Cricetulus griseus: one gene and its partners. The protein of the gene in region 1 purifies or fractionates together with the protein of each later gene. This does not show direct contact. Links are inferred from orthologs where the notes say so. Each region holds a gene or a part of one and is shown in the gene's direction. Other genes may lie near its edges.

Region 1 (4,272 bases):
GTTTCTGGTTTGGGCAATGATGGGATGGGGGTGTTTTTTGCTGTTAAAGGAAATATGAAAGCTATTACTACATAGTTAAGTACTGGGTGAAGGCTAGTCATGAATACTATGAGTTTAGTTAGGTGGGTAGTGCTAAGCAGATATCCTATAGGGAATGGGATATATGGGTCTGAAGAGGAGTCAGTATAATGTTTTCCAGCATGTGGCAGAAATCCTTGAACACAGAAGTCCCAGCAGATACTTAGTTGTCTCCTCCTGGGAAGTCTCAGGAACATAAAATATCAGTAGGACCCATATGTATCCATGTGTTACTGATGCCTTTCAGGAAAAAGCTTCTGTTAAGGTTAGCATCTGAAGCGAGGAGGTTAGGTGGTCTTTCTGTTTCCCCCCAAATATCTTTTTTTGTTGTTTGTTTTTCGAGACAGGGTTTCTCTGTGGCTTTGGAGACTGTCTTGGAACTAGCTGTTGTAGACCAGGCTGGTCTCGAAGTCACAGAGATCCATCTGCCTCTGCCTCCCGAGTGCTGGGATTAAAGGTGTGCACCACCAACTCCAGGCCCCCAAAATATTTTTTGTTGGAGACAGAGTCAACATGTAGTCCTGGCTAGCCTTGAACTCTCTTTAAAATTATTCTATATGTACAGGGTTTTGTCTACATGTATGTATTTTCATTACAAGCATGCCTAGAGCTGGATGAGGCCAAAAGAGTTTGTCATATCCTTGGGACCAGAGATACAGATAGTTGTGAACCACCACGTGGGTGCTAGAAAGTGAACCTGGGTCCTCTGGAAGAGCAAATGCTGTTAACCACCGAGCTGTCTCTCCAGACCCTGGCTTTGAGCTCTTGATTGTCCTGCCTTAGCCTCCAGAGCAATGATAACCCCATTTCTTTTGAGACAGGGTTTCTCTGTGTATCTCTAGCTGTTCTGGCACTAGCTCTTGTAGACCAGGCTGGCCTCGAACTCAAGAGATCCACCTGCCTCTGCCTCCTGAGCGCTTGGATTAAAGGCGTGCGCCACTACTGCCCGACTTGGCATTAATTTCTAACACACAGAAATTAGATCCTAGCACTAGGGAGGCAGAGGCAGGTGGATCTCTGTGAGTTCCAGACTAGCCTGGTCTACAAGAGCTTTTGCCAACACTACTGGAAGACGCTAGGTACTGACAGTGTTGGTTCGTAAACATTTTCTTTCCTGAGTAAATTAAGGGATGGGGGCGGCGGTTGTGGAGGTGGCGAGAAAGGCTGTACTGCGCCTGCGCAATAGCTATAGGCTTGAGAGGTCAACGTGAGGGTAAGAGGGCGGAGGTGACAGAATAGGCGTGTCTTTCCGCCAAACAAGTAGGCAAATGTTGCAGTTCTGTCTAGCGGTTGGCCCTTCTGAGGTGACGGACTGCATTGTTAAGCCAATCACGTCAAGATTACGTTTGTTGCCAGGGTGAAGCAGGGTCCGCCTTTTCGGGCTTGCTGATTGGTGGAACCGGAAGTGACGACGCCTCACAGGATGATACGCTCTGGGAATGTTGATGTTTTCCTGTGAGTCTGACTGAGTTCCAGATGGAATCCTTGAGGAGACGACTTGTTGTGTTCGTGAGGCCAACCACTCTGTTTCTTCAAAGTACGGATACGTGCGGGCTGGAACCTTGGGGAAAGAAAGGAACAGGACGGAACCAAAGTTTTTCTGCTGGGAACACGGCTGCAGACTTTGAAATTTGAGAGGGAGGACACGAGAGAGCGAGCGCTTATCCCTGATTGGTTCTTGGGTGTTGTCAAGGCTTTACGCAGGTTCTTCAATTGGTTGGTATTCGCAATTGTCACCGCCGCGACAATTTTTTGCCCACGTACTTCCGAACAAGAGGCAGGGCTGTGTTCTGTTACGCCTGCGCACGGCCTGGGCGGCCCCACCCGGTAGTTCAAGAACCTGTGAAGGGGCGGGGCGAAGAGGTACTTGTTTTGGTTGTGTTTCCTTTGAAGCTGAATCCCGGAACAAGGTAGCAATAAGCTTGGCTGGACTTGGAGAAAAGGCTACGACAAATTCGTCTTTGTACCATCCTATTGGACTTCACATCCGGGATCTCCTCCGGGCGTGACCTGCGTACTGCCTACCGTTCTCGAACCGGTGTCCTGATCCCTTTATACAGGCCTTGCTGTTCCCATCGTGCTTCGCGCACAACAGTAGCCCCCTCATCCGGGTTCTCTCCCGGCGTTCTCAGCGTTTCGTTTGCTGTGGGGTACTTGCCCGTGCCGCCATGACTATTCTCCCCAAAAAGAAGCCGCCACCTCCCGATGCCGACCCGGCCAACGAACCGTCGCCGCCCGGGCCGCTGCCCCCAGCGCCTCGGCGCGGTGGGGGTGTGGGTGTGGGCGGCGGCGGCACGGGAGTGGGTGGAGGAGAGCGCGACCGAGACTCCGGCGTCGTGGGGGCCCGTCCCAGGGCTTCACCACCACCTCAGGGCCCGCTCCCGGGGCCGCCTGGTGCTCTTCATCGTTGGGCACTAGCCGTGCCGCCTGGCGCAGTGGCGGGCCCTCGGCCACAGCAGGCTTCTCCACCTCCTTGTGGGGGCCCTGGTGGCCCCGGCGGCGGTCCTGGTGACGCTCTTGGTGCGGCAACTGCGGGGGTGGGCGCGGCAGGGGTGGTGGTGGGCGTGGGTGGTGCCGTGGGCGTTGGCGGCTGCTGCTCGGGGCCGGGGCACAGCAAGCGGCGGCGTCAAGCTCCCGGCGTTGGCGCAGTTGGCGGGGGCAGTCCGGAGCGTGAAGAGGTCGGAGCAGGCTACAACAGTGAAGACGAATATGAAGCTGCGGCAGCACGAATCGAAGCCATGGATCCTGCCACTGTAGAGCAGGTAAGGGCTGCAAGGTGAGGAGCTGGCAGATAACAGCACGTGAGTCCACCAGACTCAGAAGGGATCCAAGGAAGTGTTGTTTCAGAGTGGTCCAAGAAACCTAGGTCTTGTTGCTGGGCCTGACATTCTTCTCTGGTGATGAAGGTATGATGAAACCTCATTTCCCCCAGGGACTTGGTGTTAGGGGTCCTAAGTATGCTAACATACTTCAAGATGAGATCTGGGAGCTCTTTTGCAGTCCATAGTTGTCAGTCCTGGTCTTGGGGTCTCATCTGCATGACTGTTGGTGAGAAGTCTCCAGGAGTCACAGGTAGGTTTGGATTCCTTCTTGAGAGGAGGATCTCATGTCTCACTAAGGGACTTCGGTTCAGTGACTTAAGAGCTCTTTTTCTTTAGGACAAGTTAGATTTCCTCTCCAGAGAACTCAGAAAAGGCAGTGTCCTCAGAGATAGGGTCTAGGCGTACCCAAGAAACCTAAACCTGACATTCTTCATGTAGGAAGGACCCTCTTTTCCTTTGCAGAGTTGACAGGTCTGTTCACCAGCCATGCCTGGGACCTCCTCAGGAGTCCTAAGCATCAATTCAAGGACCTAGACCTCCTTGGAGAATTTAGGGCTTAGAGTAAACCGACATAACGGTAGATAGTGATTTCCAAAGCATCCCTCCAGTGATGTGAAACTTCTTTCTGGGAAATAAACTTCTCTAACCCTTGGAGACAAAGGCCAAAACCAATACCTAGGACCAGAAACTGCCTGTCTCATATCCTTTCTGAGTGACATTGGTTTGTGTTTTCTATCAGTGGACTGAGACCTGCATCCTTGGAGACAAGGGTCCTCAGTTTCTTCTCATTGATAGGCTCTTTGCCTCCACCCCTACCATTCAACTGAGGACCTGAACCTTTCTTCAAATGAATGAGATTAAGAACTTTGGATCACAGTCGATGTTGGTGTAAAGACCTCTTTGCTTATGGACTGGAGTTTTACAGACTGGGCCCGTGGCCTCTTCAGGAGTATGGCACTTAAAGATGTCCCAGGCTGGAAGTGTTCTTCAGGACACACTTTTATTCATAGACCAGTGTCTATGCTCTTGGGGGTTCATATATTCCCCTAAGGATATATGTCTTACTGATTGAAATGCACTTCAGGGATTCAACATCCCATTTTTTCTCTTCAGTTCATCTAAAGACTTCTCTGATCCCCCAGGGGCTGAGCTGTTAATCTCACAGGAAAAGAGCTCTCAAGTCACTAAACACAGATTAAGTTCCTTGGGAAAAACCTGAGGCTTCCCTCAGGAAGAGCTCCATCTTTCCTGGAAAAAGAACTCCCACCTATTGACTTTGCAGATGAGGTCCCAGAATCTAGCATGAAATCTATAGACCCTATATAATCCCTGCTTTGGAAATGGGCAGTATGGAGACCCAGAGGTGATGTCA
Region 2 (4,061 bases), on another chromosome or scaffold:
CACAACACAACGAATGCCAAATCTACCTGTCTACCTAGATTTCTGTGGGCACAGACCACTTGGGAAATGCCCATAAGGGCAAGAGTAGCTCTAAGAAAGCTGCATTAGAAATAAAAAGGAATGTGACACCAATGATGAGTTGCATGTTTGCAGAGGGACACAAGACGTTCTCGGGCAACATGGTGGTCTGAAGTGGTGTTGGTGACCGCCCTTGTACACGCTCACCGTTTTGTCTGTTCATATGCACAATTACATACATATGTAACACAATACAGAATCTTAGTGTTAAGAGCCTTTTAAGATCAGGCACCCTGTTGGGCCGTAGTGGTGCACGCCTTTAATCTCAGAATCCCAGCACTTGGGAGACAGAGGCAGGCAGATCTGTGTAAGTTCGAGGTCAGCCTGGTCTACAGAGAGAAACCCTGTCTCGAAAAAAAACAAAACAACAGAGTTTCCAATAACTCCTTGCTGCTTTTAATATTCCCAGGGAGGTTTGCAAGTTGGAAGAGGGGAGGGCATTACGTTGCCACTCTTCCCATACAGTGACTGAGTATATTAATCCTGCTGTCCATCTTTTAGCCCTAGTTTCCTTCTTGGATAGGAATCGTACTCCCTGTTTCATAAGGGGCCACACTTGCCTACATTAGATACCCTCATCATTACTTCAGAGGGCGAATGGCTGAGACACCAAAACAAAAACATCACATACCAACTGGAAAGGAGCCCTTAGTAAAATTTTTGTTGAATGAATGAGTAAAACGAAGGCACAGTATACGAATGCTCCTTCCCCATGGCGCTGGAGTGAAAAATGTGACAGTCCCATCTCTGGTACCAGGATCTCCCACTAGCACCCGGACCTCCCCGCCCACGTCCAGACAAGGAGTGAGACGGAGAGATGCGCACAGGCTCGGCCTTGAGCCCAGAGTTGAGAGCCGGCTGGCCCGGTTGCCATGGCACCGCCTGGTGCTCCACCCTCCCTCGCCCCCACACACCCCCTCGGCAGTCAGGGACTGGCGGCGGGTCACGTGGTAGGCGGCGTAGCCACGCCTCTGCTTCCCAGCGCAGAGCTGAGGGGTCACGTGGGATAGCAACAGGTCACGTGCCCGAGCGAGTTTCGCCCCCCCCATCCCAGGTCATCCACTGCGCATGCATGGATGGATGGATGGATGGATGGAGACCACGTGTCCGCCGCGAACGTCCGGCGTTCGCCCCCCCCCCCCGGTTTCCGCGCGCCTCCCTGGCTGCTGGTCACATGGGGAGGGTGGGGGTGAGGGGGGCCTCTCTAGCTCGCGGCCCGTGTCTATGGTCTGGCCCGTAGCGTCCAGCTGCCCGGGACCGATCCCCGGTGTATGGCGCCGCAGGAACCGGCTCCCGGGCCCAGATAAAGGGCCACCTCCGCAGCTCTTGGCCGGGCGAGAGGTGAGTGCAGCCGCTTGCAGGGATGGGGCCCGGCGCCCCGCCACCACCCTATGGATCCCCTCGTTGTGGAAGGATGGCCCAAGGGCGGGAAGCGGGGCCTTTGTGGTCGCGGCCAGCGTGTGATTTTAGGGAATAAAGTGTGCAACCTTCGATGCCAACGCCGTGCATTGTGATGGTCTTCTTTGTGCCCGGTGCGATGTCCCGTTCTCCCCCCTCCTCCTCCCCGGGAGGAATGCATTCTTTTTCGCCCCTCCGGGACATCACGTGGCTGGAGGGCTCGGTGGGAGAGTCTTTTGTGTTACCTGAGGCGCGGCACTCTGGCAGCGTGGAGGGAGGGGATGGGCGGCTGTGTCGGTGCGGTCGTGGGCAGGAATTCCTTTGTTACTGCTGGGTCATCCCCCCTCCTAGCTGTGAAGGAAAGGAGGGCTTGGTTTTAGAAGCCTCTGTGATTGTAGGAGATCTCCCTGCTCCGAGAATGGCTACCTCCCGCTATGAACCGGTGGCTGAAATCGGTGTTGGTGCCTATGGGACGGTATACAAGGCCCGAGATCCCCACAGTGGCCACTTTGTGGCCCTCAAGAGTGTGCGAGTTCCCAACGGAGGGGGAGCTGGAGGGGGCCTTCCCATCAGCACTGTACGCGAGGTGGCCTTACTGAGGCGGTTGGAGGCCTTCGAGCACCCCAATGTTGTACGGTGAGGAGGTTGGATTGGGAGTGGGGAGGAAAGAATGGGATCTGTAAGCCAGGGGTGTGGTCGTCGGGAGTGGGACCCTAGGACTCCAGAGGCCACGTTGGAACAAAGGACATTGACCGGCTGGCGACTGTTTATTTTTGTCAGGCTAATGGATGTCTGTGCTACCTCCCGAACTGATCGAGACATCAAGGTCACTCTCGTGTTTGAGCATATAGATCAGGATCTGAGGACATACCTGGATAAAGCACCCCCACCAGGCTTGCCAGTTGAGACCATCAAGGTGAGCGGGCTGCTCGGTGAGAGGTGGATCCGGGTCTTTGTAGTAGGGACTCTTGGGGTTTTTGAGCGTGTTACATGGTGTCCGGGGCTTTCTCCTTCAAAACCAGGACCTGATGCGACAGTTTCTAAGCGGCCTGGATTTTCTTCATGCAAATTGCATTGTTCACCGAGACCTGAAACCGGAGAACATTCTGGTGACTAGTAATGGGACAGTCAAGCTGGCTGACTTTGGCCTGGCCAGAATCTACAGCTACCAGATGGCCCTCACACCTGTGGTGAGTGGAAAGATGGCAGCCCCAATGGGATTCGGCTTTAGGTAGTACTTGATTTCCCGTAGCAGCTGAGGTGTGTTGTGCTTGACGTTCTCAAAGCCCAGCAGCTATGAGCCATGAAAAGGACTCTCACTCGTTTCTCCTCTTCTGTTTAGGTTGTTACACTCTGGTACCGTGCTCCTGAAGTTCTTCTGCAGTCTACATACGCAACACCCGTGGACATGTGGAGCGTTGGCTGTATCTTTGCAGAGATGTTTCGTCGAAAGTACGGGGCTTGAAACTTTTGTTTTTTAAGACAGGGTAGCCCTGGCTGTCCTGTGACTCCCTCGGAGATCCGCCTGCCGCCACCACCTGGCTCAGGGTGTGGAACTCTTAGGTCCCTTCAGTTACACAAATCTTTTGATGTTACTTATGGTGTTAGAGGTTGAAATCAGAACTGCACATACACTGGGCAAATGCTCTATACCACTAAACTACACTCCCCGCCCCTGGGTCTTTTTACAAGACATACCCGTTCTTGACCATTTTTGTGCATATGGCACTGGACGCCCCAACCTAGGCTCTTGTATTTATCAGGCGCGTGCCCTGCCACCCAGCTATAGTCCCAACCTATCCTGTTTATGTTCACCAACTTGCCTAAAACCAGAAACGATGCAGGCAAATTTCCTGAAATGTCTAGGAATTAGGAACTTTGTGTTCCCTTATTCTCCGTCCTCTCTAATCTCAGCCACTTTGATTATCATTCCCTTATTTCTGAAATAATATATACTTGGAATATTTTTCTACCTTAGGCCTCTCTTCTGTGGAAACTCTGAAGCTGACCAGTTGGGCAAAATCTTTGAGTAAGTGTCCAATAAAGGGGAAAGAAATCCCCCCCCCCCTTTTTGTTTGTTTTTTTCGAGGCAGGGTTTCTCTGTGGCTTTGGAGGCTGTCCTGGAACTAGCTCTTGTAGACCAGGCTGGTCTACAAGATCTCAAACTCACAGAGATCCGCCTGCCTCTGCCTCCCAAGTGCTGGGATTAAAGGCATGAGTCACCACCGCCCGGCTAAAATTCCCCATTCTTAATTCAGTTTCTGCTCAATTCCAAATGGCAGTTGGCCCTGGAGATGGAAACTGGAAAAAGCCCCCCTGACCAGATTTGTGTTATCCCTACAGTCTCATTGGATTGCCCCCAGAAGATGACTGGCCTCGAGAGGTATCTCTTCCCCGAGGAGCCTTTTCCCCCAGAGGGCCGCGGCCTGTGCAGTCGGTGGTACCGGAGATGGAGGAATCTGGAGCACAGCTGCTGCTGGTAGTGGGCATGGGCCAGGGAGGTGGCTCTGTGATAAAGCTTTTAGGGCATAAGTGTAAGGACCTGAGTTTGAATCCCCAGAACTCGAGTAAAAGCTATGTGTCAG
Region 3 (4,239 bases), on another chromosome or scaffold:
ATCTGGGCTCCATCTACACATAGCATTCCAGGATGAGGGGACTACCTTAGAGACTATTCATCCTGGTCTTTAAAGCAGTATTGAGTAACTGTCTTATGGTGATTTATTCTGTTATTCCAGAATTCTGAAGATTAAAGAAAAATAAGTAAAAAGTTTCTGTTCTTTTACGAATGTAGTACGATCTGTTGTGAAGGAACCAACAAAGGCAGGACCAGCATTCATACCAGCAGTAGGAGCACAAGAGAACTATACAGCCAACACGGATTAAGGACTGGGCCTGTGGTCACCTTTTTACAGAATAAAACAGAAGGCAACAAAATGTATAAGCTAAAGGGCCTCAGTCTCACCATTGCTAGGACCACAGGTGTGCCATCTCCCTAATCTATCTAAAATGTTTCTTGGTTTGTTTTGGGGGACTAAGCGTCCATTAGATACCCTAAGTCGCCAGGAGCTCCTAATGGAGATCAGACTTGTCTCAAACTTTCGTTAAGTCTCCTGAGTTTCTCCCTCCTCAGCGCAGGTGTACACTACAATGGTGCATCTTAATCCGCCCTCCTCCATGGGGGGGGGGGGAAGACACATTGAATGCCACTGAGTGTAGAGGTCAGAGGACAACTTGTGAGAGCCGGTTTTCTCCTCCCACCATTTAGGGCCTGGGGATAGAACTCAGGAGACAAGCAGAGTTACCTGCTGATCCGACCCCAGATGCGTCTTTCCACAAGAATTCTCTCGCCAATTTTGAGCCTGCTATAATGGAAAGCTTAGTATCCGACTTCTTGGATGCCCTGTTTGGGTCTGGAGCCCCTTTCTCCCGGCCTTTGCGTCTCTGATCGACCCTTCTGAGTTGCACACTGGCAATAAGTGGCTTTTAGTCTTCTATCTCTCCCTCCAGGCTTCCCTTTCCACACCCAACGCTTACTCCTCGGGTCAGCCTCTCCCAGCGCTCCCAGCGTCCCATCCCGTTGGGGCAGTCTTTCCCTCTCTTCCGGCCTCACACTGCTCTAACCCTCCTCTTCCCCTCTCCGGGTCCCCAGAAGCGTTCTTTCCATTTCCTGGCTGGAGGGACGGCACCAGATGCTCCTCAGAAGCACATCTCTCTAGGGACCTTGCGAGGCTCGGCCGTTGGAGGAGGCGTGGCCCTCGAATAAGTCCTCCGCTGCCCCACTCTCGGCGGGCCCGCGCGCAGACAAAGACATTCCAGAGCCCCCGCCCCCTCCGCCTGAGTGGGGGGGGGAGACACGTGAACCGCTAGCACCGAGTCACGTGGAAAACAAAAAAAAAGAAACGAACGAAGGAGGCTGGCGCCCGCGCAGGCGCGATAGACCCGAAGCCCGAGCGGGGAGACGACGTCTTTAGTCGGCGCAGGCGCCGTGGCCAGACTGGGGACTTTGTTCTCCGCGGAGAAACTCAAGGGCGGTGCCGGTAGACGTCTGCGCACGCGCGCCGCCTCATTTCCGGTGCTCTCTCGCTGGGTCGCTCGGGTCGGCTTCGGTCGCTGTCGCTCCCGCTCTTCCACCCCCGCCAACCGCCGCTCGGGCCTCGGCTGCCGCCGCGTCGCTTCCTCGCTCGCTCGCCACACATCCTCCCCGATGCAGCGCCGGGACGACCCTGCCGCGCGCCTGACTCGGTCCTCGGGCCGCAGCGGCTCCATGGACCCCTCAGGTGTCCACCCCTCGGTGCGTCAGACCCCGACTCGGCCGTCACCGCTGCCTCACCGGTCCCGGGGAGGCGGAGGTGGGCCCAGAGGGGGCGTCCGGGCCTCGCCCGCCACGCAGCCGCCGCCGCTGCTGCCTCCCTCGGCCACGGGTCCCGACGCGACTGTGGTCGGATCGGCGCCGACCCCGCTGCTGCCCCCGTCAGCCACAGCCGCGGCCAAGATGGAGCCGGAGAATAAGTACCTGCCCGAACTCATGGCTGAGAAGGACTCCCTCGACCCGTCTTTCACTCACGCCATGCAGCTGTTGTCCGTAGGTAAGCGGGTCTTGGCGCACCCTCGGCTTTCCCGGTCCTGGCGGTGGGTGGCCGCCGCTTTGTTCCTCTTGCTCCCGCCCCCTCGGAGCCCGGGCATCGGGAGTTCCCTTCTCGACCCTGGCCTTCAAGATCCTGGACCCACAAGTCCCACCCCTGCTCAGGGTGTGAGGGGAGATTTCTGAGCCTCGGAGGAGTCTCCGTGCGTGCGCGCAGAGCTTGATGGATAGTACTGTGCTCCCGCCCCCCTTCCCGACCCTGTCTCCTCCTCTAGTAGTTGCCCCGCGCGCCGACGACCAGATCTTTCCAGAAATGAACCTTCTTTGCCCCGCTTTCCCAAAGGGGGGAGGGGAATTTGCCTTTTGATCGCGCGTGGTGGAGAGCGCCTTGACCCGGGGTGTAGGGAGGAAAGACGGTCGGAACCGGGAGGGAGGCAGGGCCGGGATGCCGGGCCGGCGCCGGCGCCGTCACCGTCTACCGAGCCGTGCGGGATTTAGCGGGAACTCGGATTTAAGTTACTCAGAGGCTGGAGCGACGAGAGAACCGGAGCTTGAGATTTTTCTCGAGTTCAGTTTTCCACATCGGCCTGTCGAATAAGAATTGCTGCAGACCCGGACGGTTTTTCTCCTTTATTTTAAAATGTGTCTTGACAATCACGCAGAAGTAGAGCGAGTAACTAAGGAGACTCTGGGAAGAAATGATAAAGGGAGGTAAGGGACTGCAGGTTCTTTATCGTGAGATGAACGAGAGAAATTGGTCTTGTTTTAGTTTGGGCTTGAGAAGAGATAGTTTAGGAAAGGTAGCCTTTGTTCTTTGCTTGCAGACGGCGAGCTCTCTTGACTTCATGACTTAGTTTTCTTATTCAGACCATCTGCTTGACCCTCATTTATAGTTAAGGCATGGTTTTTAATAAGTATTTCTTACGACATCTAAATATTATTTAGCATATAAAACCCTTAGTCCGTCTCACTAAATGAGTAGTTGGACTCTGGCCAAAATGATACCGTGGACAGTTCATTGTGAAAATACCATTATCTGATGGAGAGAGATGGAACAGCGGTTAAGAGCACTTTCTGCTCTTCCACAGGGGTTCGGTTCCCAGCACCCACATCACGTGGCTCACAAACACTTGTAAAATTAGCACCAGGGGAGGGGGATCAGATACTCTTTTTGAACTACAGGCACTCAGGTACGAATCTGAAGTGAAATAAAGGGAAAATACCATTTTCCTCCATTTGTTCTCTGTTTCCTAGGATTGGTGAAGGGACTTTACTATTTTTGCAATAAAAAAGAAGATTTAAGGATGTGATTTTCTTTACAGACAGGTATGAAAACAGCAATTAAGGGTTTTGTTTTGTTTTGTTTTGGTTTTGGTTTTTCAAGACAGGGTTTCTCTGTGGCTTTGGAGGCTGTCCTGGAACTAGCTCTTGTAGACCAGGCTGGTCTCGAACTCACAGAGATCCACCTGCCTCTGCCTCCCGAGTGCTGGGATTAAAGGCGTGCGCCACCAACGTCTGGCTAAATTAAGGGTCTTACAAGTGCAGTAAAACAAAAAGCTGGGTCAGTAAATACAAACGTTTAGATCAGTTGGTTGCATTTCAACTTAGTGCCCCTATTCTGCTCTTTGTTGGTTTTTCCAGATAAGGTTTCTCTGTGTTTTCCTGGCTGGCCTGGAACTTGCTGTGTACACCAAGCTGACCTCAAACTCACAGAGATTGGCTTGCCTCTGCCTCCCAAATGCTGGGATTAAAGATGTGTGTCACCACTGCCTGGCTAGGTTCTTATGTTTCATGACAAGTTACTTACTGGTAAGAATTTTCTTTTTTTTTTCTTTTTTAAGGTCTCAAGTAACTGAGACTGGTTGGCGCTCACTTTCTAACCAAGGATGATTTGAACTTATGTTCCTTCTGCCTCTATTTCCAGAGTTTGGGAGGTATGAAGTGCCTAGGATAAAACTCAGAACTTTATGCACGATAGGCACTCTACACATTCAGGCCATCTTTCATTTTATTTATTTATTTATTTTCATACTGGCTTGCAAATAACAAACACCAGTGTTTGGTTGACTGAGAACAAGTGCCTGCAAGAAAATCACTATGATTAAGGTCGACTTAGTATTCTTATTTTTAGTTCCTCAAATCTTTATAACCTGACAGGTTAATTGCTGGAGAATTAAGTGGTTTTAAGAAGTTAACTTTGGAAACTGATCCTTAACTAGCTAATCTTGAGAAATTTACTCAAATGCTGGGTTTGAGGACTAAGTTATATGTA
Region 4 (4,180 bases), on another chromosome or scaffold:
ATAGTTATCAAAATTTCAACACTTGTCTTAACTTCTAGCAAGACGAGATTGGTTTACAGAATTGATGTGGGCAGTCTAGGTGCCACTACCATTTAACATAAGTGAGAACTTGGTAAGTCATATCACTTCTGACATGATTTCATCGCTTGTGAAAAGGGGACAATTGTTTTCCTAAAAAGATGTGAGGGTCAAGCATTCCTAGCACCTGCTACTTGAGAGATACACTTTCTAGTACACTCTGTGTCAACGGGAATGGTTTAAAAACTATACTATGTATTGGCACTGGATTGTCTTAATGTCAATGTTTTCAAGTCTTTACTAATTACCTAAATTAATTTTCCTTCCTTCATACATAATACTCAATGTAGTATACAATATTTCTTCTTGAGCACATCTTTTTTTGGGGGGGGTGGGGGGCTTCAAGACAGGGTTTCACTGTGTAGCCCCTGCTTTCCCTGAACTTGCTCTGTAGACCAGACTGCCCTCGATTCGCCTCCGGAATGCTGGGATTCAAGGCATGCGCCACCACCTCATGGTTCTTGAGCACATTTTTACCAACACTACAGCCTCAAAAGCCTTGGGTGGCCAGATAATGATGGATCAGTTAATCCGATTGATTCTAGAAAGCGTTTCCAAACACTGCCTTTTGGAGGCTTGCCTGGCGTCCAGTGCTGCAGTCAGGAGTTAACAGCTCTGAAAGCATGGTCGCAATGACCGGAAAAGGCGCGCAACCCAGACAGTCAACTCGTCTTTTTGATTCGTTCTGCCACCCAATGTCTCGGTGCGAGCAACCCCGGAATCCCGTTCCACTTTGAACCGAAGTGCCTCGATTCGCTGCGAAGGGTGGAGGGCAGCTCCAGAAACCCACCCGCTAGGGATGTGCAGCCGAGCGGCCACAATCTGCAGCCTACCGGAGGTTAAGTGTGGCACCTCACCCCCACCCCCACCCCCGGAAGTTTTTGAGGCTTCAGTTACTAGGTCTGGGAGTCACCTTGACCCTCTCAGAAAGGTGGAGAAAGTCCTCGGCCGGAGACGGGGTGGGCGAAACCACAAAGACAGAACACTTTCGTGAGCCGAAGACAACCTCACGTTTCCCTGGTTTTCAGGGGGTAGCTAAAGACCGAGAGTTTAAGGGTGACAAGAGCAGGTGGCCGAACTCCGCCCAGCACACGCTTCTCCACCTTCGGCGAGCACGCTTCACTCTCTCCGGGAGATCCCGCCTCTGAGGCGCGCGCGAAGAGGTGCTGCGCGGCGCACGCTGGGAGTTGTGGTTCAGGAGTGGGCCGCTGCTTCAGGATGATCCGCTGTGGCCTACATACCCCATGGTGCTGTGCGGCGCAGGCCACTCCCGGATGTGTGCCTGGCGCCGGAAGAGAAGGCGGCCCCCCTTTCTCGGCCCGGCCATCTTGTGGGAAGAGCTGAAGCAGGCGCTTTTGGCTCGGCGCGGTCCGCTGCAATCCGTGGAGGAACGCGCCGCCGAGCCACCATCATGCCCGGGCACCTACAGGAAGGGTTCGGCTGCGTGGTCACCAACCGATTCGACCAGCTATTTGACGACGAATCGGACCCTTTCGAGGTACTGAAGGCAGCAGAGAACAAGAAAAAAGAAGCCGGCGGGGGCGGCGTTGGTGGCCCTGGGGCCAAGAGCGCCGCTCAGGCCGCGGCCCAGACCAACTCCAACGCGGCGGGCAAACAGTTGCGTAAAGAGTCCCAGAAAGATCGCAAGAACCCGCTGCCCCCCAGCGTCGGCGTGGCTGACAAAAAGGAGGAGACGCAGCCGCCGGTGGCGCTTAAGAAAGAAGGTAAAGCCGGGCGAGGCGGTGGGGAGCCCCGGGCTGGCGGGCAGGACGGGGGCGTGCGCGGCCGCTCGCTGGTGCAGCCGGAGGGGGCGCGGCGTGCGCGGAGCCCCGCACGGTGCGCGAGCGTGGCTGGCACCGAGTCCACGCCGCTCGCAGGCTCGGCGGGAGCCTTCCCGCCTCGGGCTGACTGAGCGTGCTCCGAGAGGGCGGCCCGGGCGTTCCCGCCGATTCGGGCCGGGTGTTGGGCGCCGCCTGGCTCTCGGTGCCCGGGAGCAGCGAGCGGGCACGTTTCCTGCCCGGCGTGCTCAAATGTGTGCCGCTGCCCGCCCTGGGCTCCTGCCCTGCCATCTTGTCCCACAATGGCGCGGACCCTCGAGGAAAGGCCGGGGCTCGGAGTTTCCACCTGGGCTGCGGTCTGTTCGGGGCCACTGTTTAGAGAGTGGAGGAAGGGGCTGTTTGGGTCCCGCATGTGCAACAAAAAAAGTTGCACCCTTTTGCTCCTGTGTTCAACTTAACTGTAACTTAGTGGCGGGGATGAAGCTGTTGGAAAGGGGAGGAATTCGGAGCCCCCACTCGTTTTCGAGGGAGTTTCTGAATGGAGACTGGTTATCAGCAGAACCTTTCTCATGTCGCGAGCCCTTCTTCAATACCTTGAAGCCCCCCCCCCCCCCCCCAGGTGGATTGGGCTTTTCCTGTTTTGGGCTTCATGGGTCGAATGAGTGCCCAGCCTGTCACGTCCCCGGCAGCAGAGTTCTTTGGAGTCTGCAGCCTTTCCTCCGCACGTGCGTGAAGCATGGTCAGGTCCTCATTGGCGGTTAGTAGACTTCCAGGGCGCTGGAAGTTTCCTAGTTGTTTTTTGATTTTAGCATTCTAAAATACTGGCTTATTGTGGGTGAAAAAGCAAAGCAATTAAGGGTTAAGAAGGTTTAAAGTCAATAGTAGGTCGGTTTAGAATCTAAACTGTGAGTCTTTAAAGTTACCATTATATGTAAAGTTGCCTCTTAGTGCCACGTGCTCATGAAAGGAATTGTTTGGGTTTTGGTTTAAGGTATCTTTTTGGGGGGGTGTCTTTTTTTGTATGGCTTGGAGTAAACATCCAGTACCTAGTTGACTGAATAAAAGATTTCTCGTGCTAAAAATGATAGATTTGGAAGGGCAGCATAGTCTGGATTGTTAGAAAACATCATTTGGGCAAAAGTACTCAGCACATTAAGCTTGACATCGTACAGTCGAATAAGGCATTTAATTCTTGTGTAAAGGAACTCTGGTTGGTGTATTTTAAACTGTTTACCTCTTTGATGACACTAATTAAAGAAAATACATGAATAAGTTGTCTAAAACATACGATGTAGATGCACTCACTCATTAAATGTTCAAATCATGAAGCTTAATTTAAATTACTCAGTTTTCACCAGGAATCCTATCTATGATCTTACCTGGAAAGTAACATTGTAAGTCATAAGTGTGGGCAATTTTATTTACAGCCCGGATTCTTTGTCATTTACTTAAGTCATTAGGAAAACTTTTTCACATTGCTTATCGACATTTTCCCTTAGTATTTCAGAAATCTTTTTTTGTTGGTATCGGGGATTGAACTCAGGACCCTTAAATCACTCTAAAACCAGAGTTGCTTAAAACAAAGTTATACATAAGGAGAAATTTGGAATAAAAATGTCAGTTGTCCTCTGTATTGGATGGTACCTCTAAGAAAGGAAAGAATTGTTCATTTATGGTGTGTCCTGTGTCTCGATAACACAATACTGGAATGTAATGGTGTCCTTACATCACTTTTGTAACTTTTGTCTATTTGAAGAACTTGAGAGTTGGTAAAATGTTAAGTGTAGACTAGGTTTTTGGATTAAACAAACACCTGAATTCTACTGCAGTTGGCAATTCAAGTATAGGTAAGTACATGAAAAGAAGCTTATGCTTTAAAAAGTATCAACCATTTTTCATTAGATGAGTTTACTTTTTGTGGTGGGTGATATTGGTAGAGCCCAGCATTTTGCCCACTAGGCTTAAGTATAAAGTAGCACTCACTGAGCAACATTCCCAGCCCCATGATGAGTTTATTAAGTTTTTTTTTCTTGTTATGTAGGACTCATTGAGTATTGGGTGGGGAAGCAAGCCATTGTTCCTTGGGTGTGTTTAGCTTGGTTATCATTACAAGGACTGAACTGGTTCCATAGCTCCACCCTAACACACTGTACCTCTGATGAAATTTATGTAAATGTGTTGGCATAAGGTCTACATTTAGGGCTTGTCCTGAGAATTTACAAAGAATGAGATTTAAGTATTAAAGAGTTTTGTCTTTATGACTAGTTAGAGGTATCTTAATAATTGGTATATCCTGATGATCTTCCATTTCCTTAAACTAAGTC

Evidence for each region. The genes of interacting proteins can lie anywhere in the genome.
Region 2: the proteins of Otud5 (region 1) and Cdk4 purify together in Homo sapiens (affinity purification with mass spectrometry, with the first as the bait; 4 studies listed by BioGRID). This does not show direct contact. The link is inferred for Cricetulus griseus from reciprocal best matches to the Homo sapiens genes OTUD5 and CDK4.
Region 3: the proteins of Otud5 (region 1) and Khdrbs1 purify together in Homo sapiens (affinity purification with mass spectrometry, with the first as the bait; 3 studies listed by BioGRID). This does not show direct contact. The link is inferred for Cricetulus griseus from reciprocal best matches to the Homo sapiens genes OTUD5 and KHDRBS1.
Region 4: the proteins of Otud5 (region 1) and Serbp1 purify together in Homo sapiens (affinity purification with mass spectrometry, with the first as the bait; 3 studies listed by BioGRID). This does not show direct contact. The link is inferred for Cricetulus griseus from reciprocal best matches to the Homo sapiens genes OTUD5 and SERBP1.

What each region holds. Positions count from the first base shown.
Region 1 is NC_048604.1:114,305,426-114,309,697, forward strand, and holds the start of Otud5 (OTU domain-containing protein 5), read left to right. Parts: upstream 1-1,472; 5' UTR 1,473-2,246; coding exon 2,247-2,840; intron 2,841-4,272. UniProt on the Homo sapiens protein: Deubiquitinating enzyme that functions as a negative regulator of the innate immune system. Has peptidase activity towards 'Lys-48'- and 'Lys-63'-linked polyubiquitin chains. Can also cleave 'Lys-11'-linked ubiquitin chains (in vitro).
Region 2 is NW_023276806.1:130,641,208-130,645,268, reverse strand, and holds the start of Cdk4 (cyclin-dependent kinase 4), read left to right. Parts: upstream 1-1,261; 5' UTR 1,262-1,419; intron 1,420-1,874; 5' UTR 1,875-1,894; coding exon 1,895-2,112; intron 2,113-2,256; coding exon 2,257-2,392; intron 2,393-2,498; coding exon 2,499-2,666; intron 2,667-2,818; coding exon 2,819-2,928; intron 2,929-3,454; coding exon 3,455-3,505; intron 3,506-3,819; coding exon 3,820-3,955; intron 3,956-4,061.
Region 3 is NC_048595.1:23,279,546-23,283,784, forward strand, and holds the start of Khdrbs1 (KH domain-containing, RNA-binding, signal transduction-associated protein 1), read left to right. Parts: upstream 1-1,439; 5' UTR 1,440-1,589; coding exon 1,590-1,971; intron 1,972-4,239. UniProt on the Homo sapiens protein: Recruited and tyrosine phosphorylated by several receptor systems, for example the T-cell, leptin and insulin receptors. Once phosphorylated, functions as an adapter protein in signal transduction cascades by binding to SH2 and SH3 domain-containing proteins.
Region 4 is NC_048601.1:75,942,036-75,946,215, reverse strand, and holds the start of Serbp1 (plasminogen activator inhibitor 1 RNA-binding protein), read left to right. Parts: upstream 1-1,380; 5' UTR 1,381-1,489; coding exon 1,490-1,802; intron 1,803-4,180. UniProt on the Homo sapiens protein: Ribosome-binding protein that promotes ribosome hibernation, a process during which ribosomes are stabilized in an inactive state and preserved from proteasomal degradation.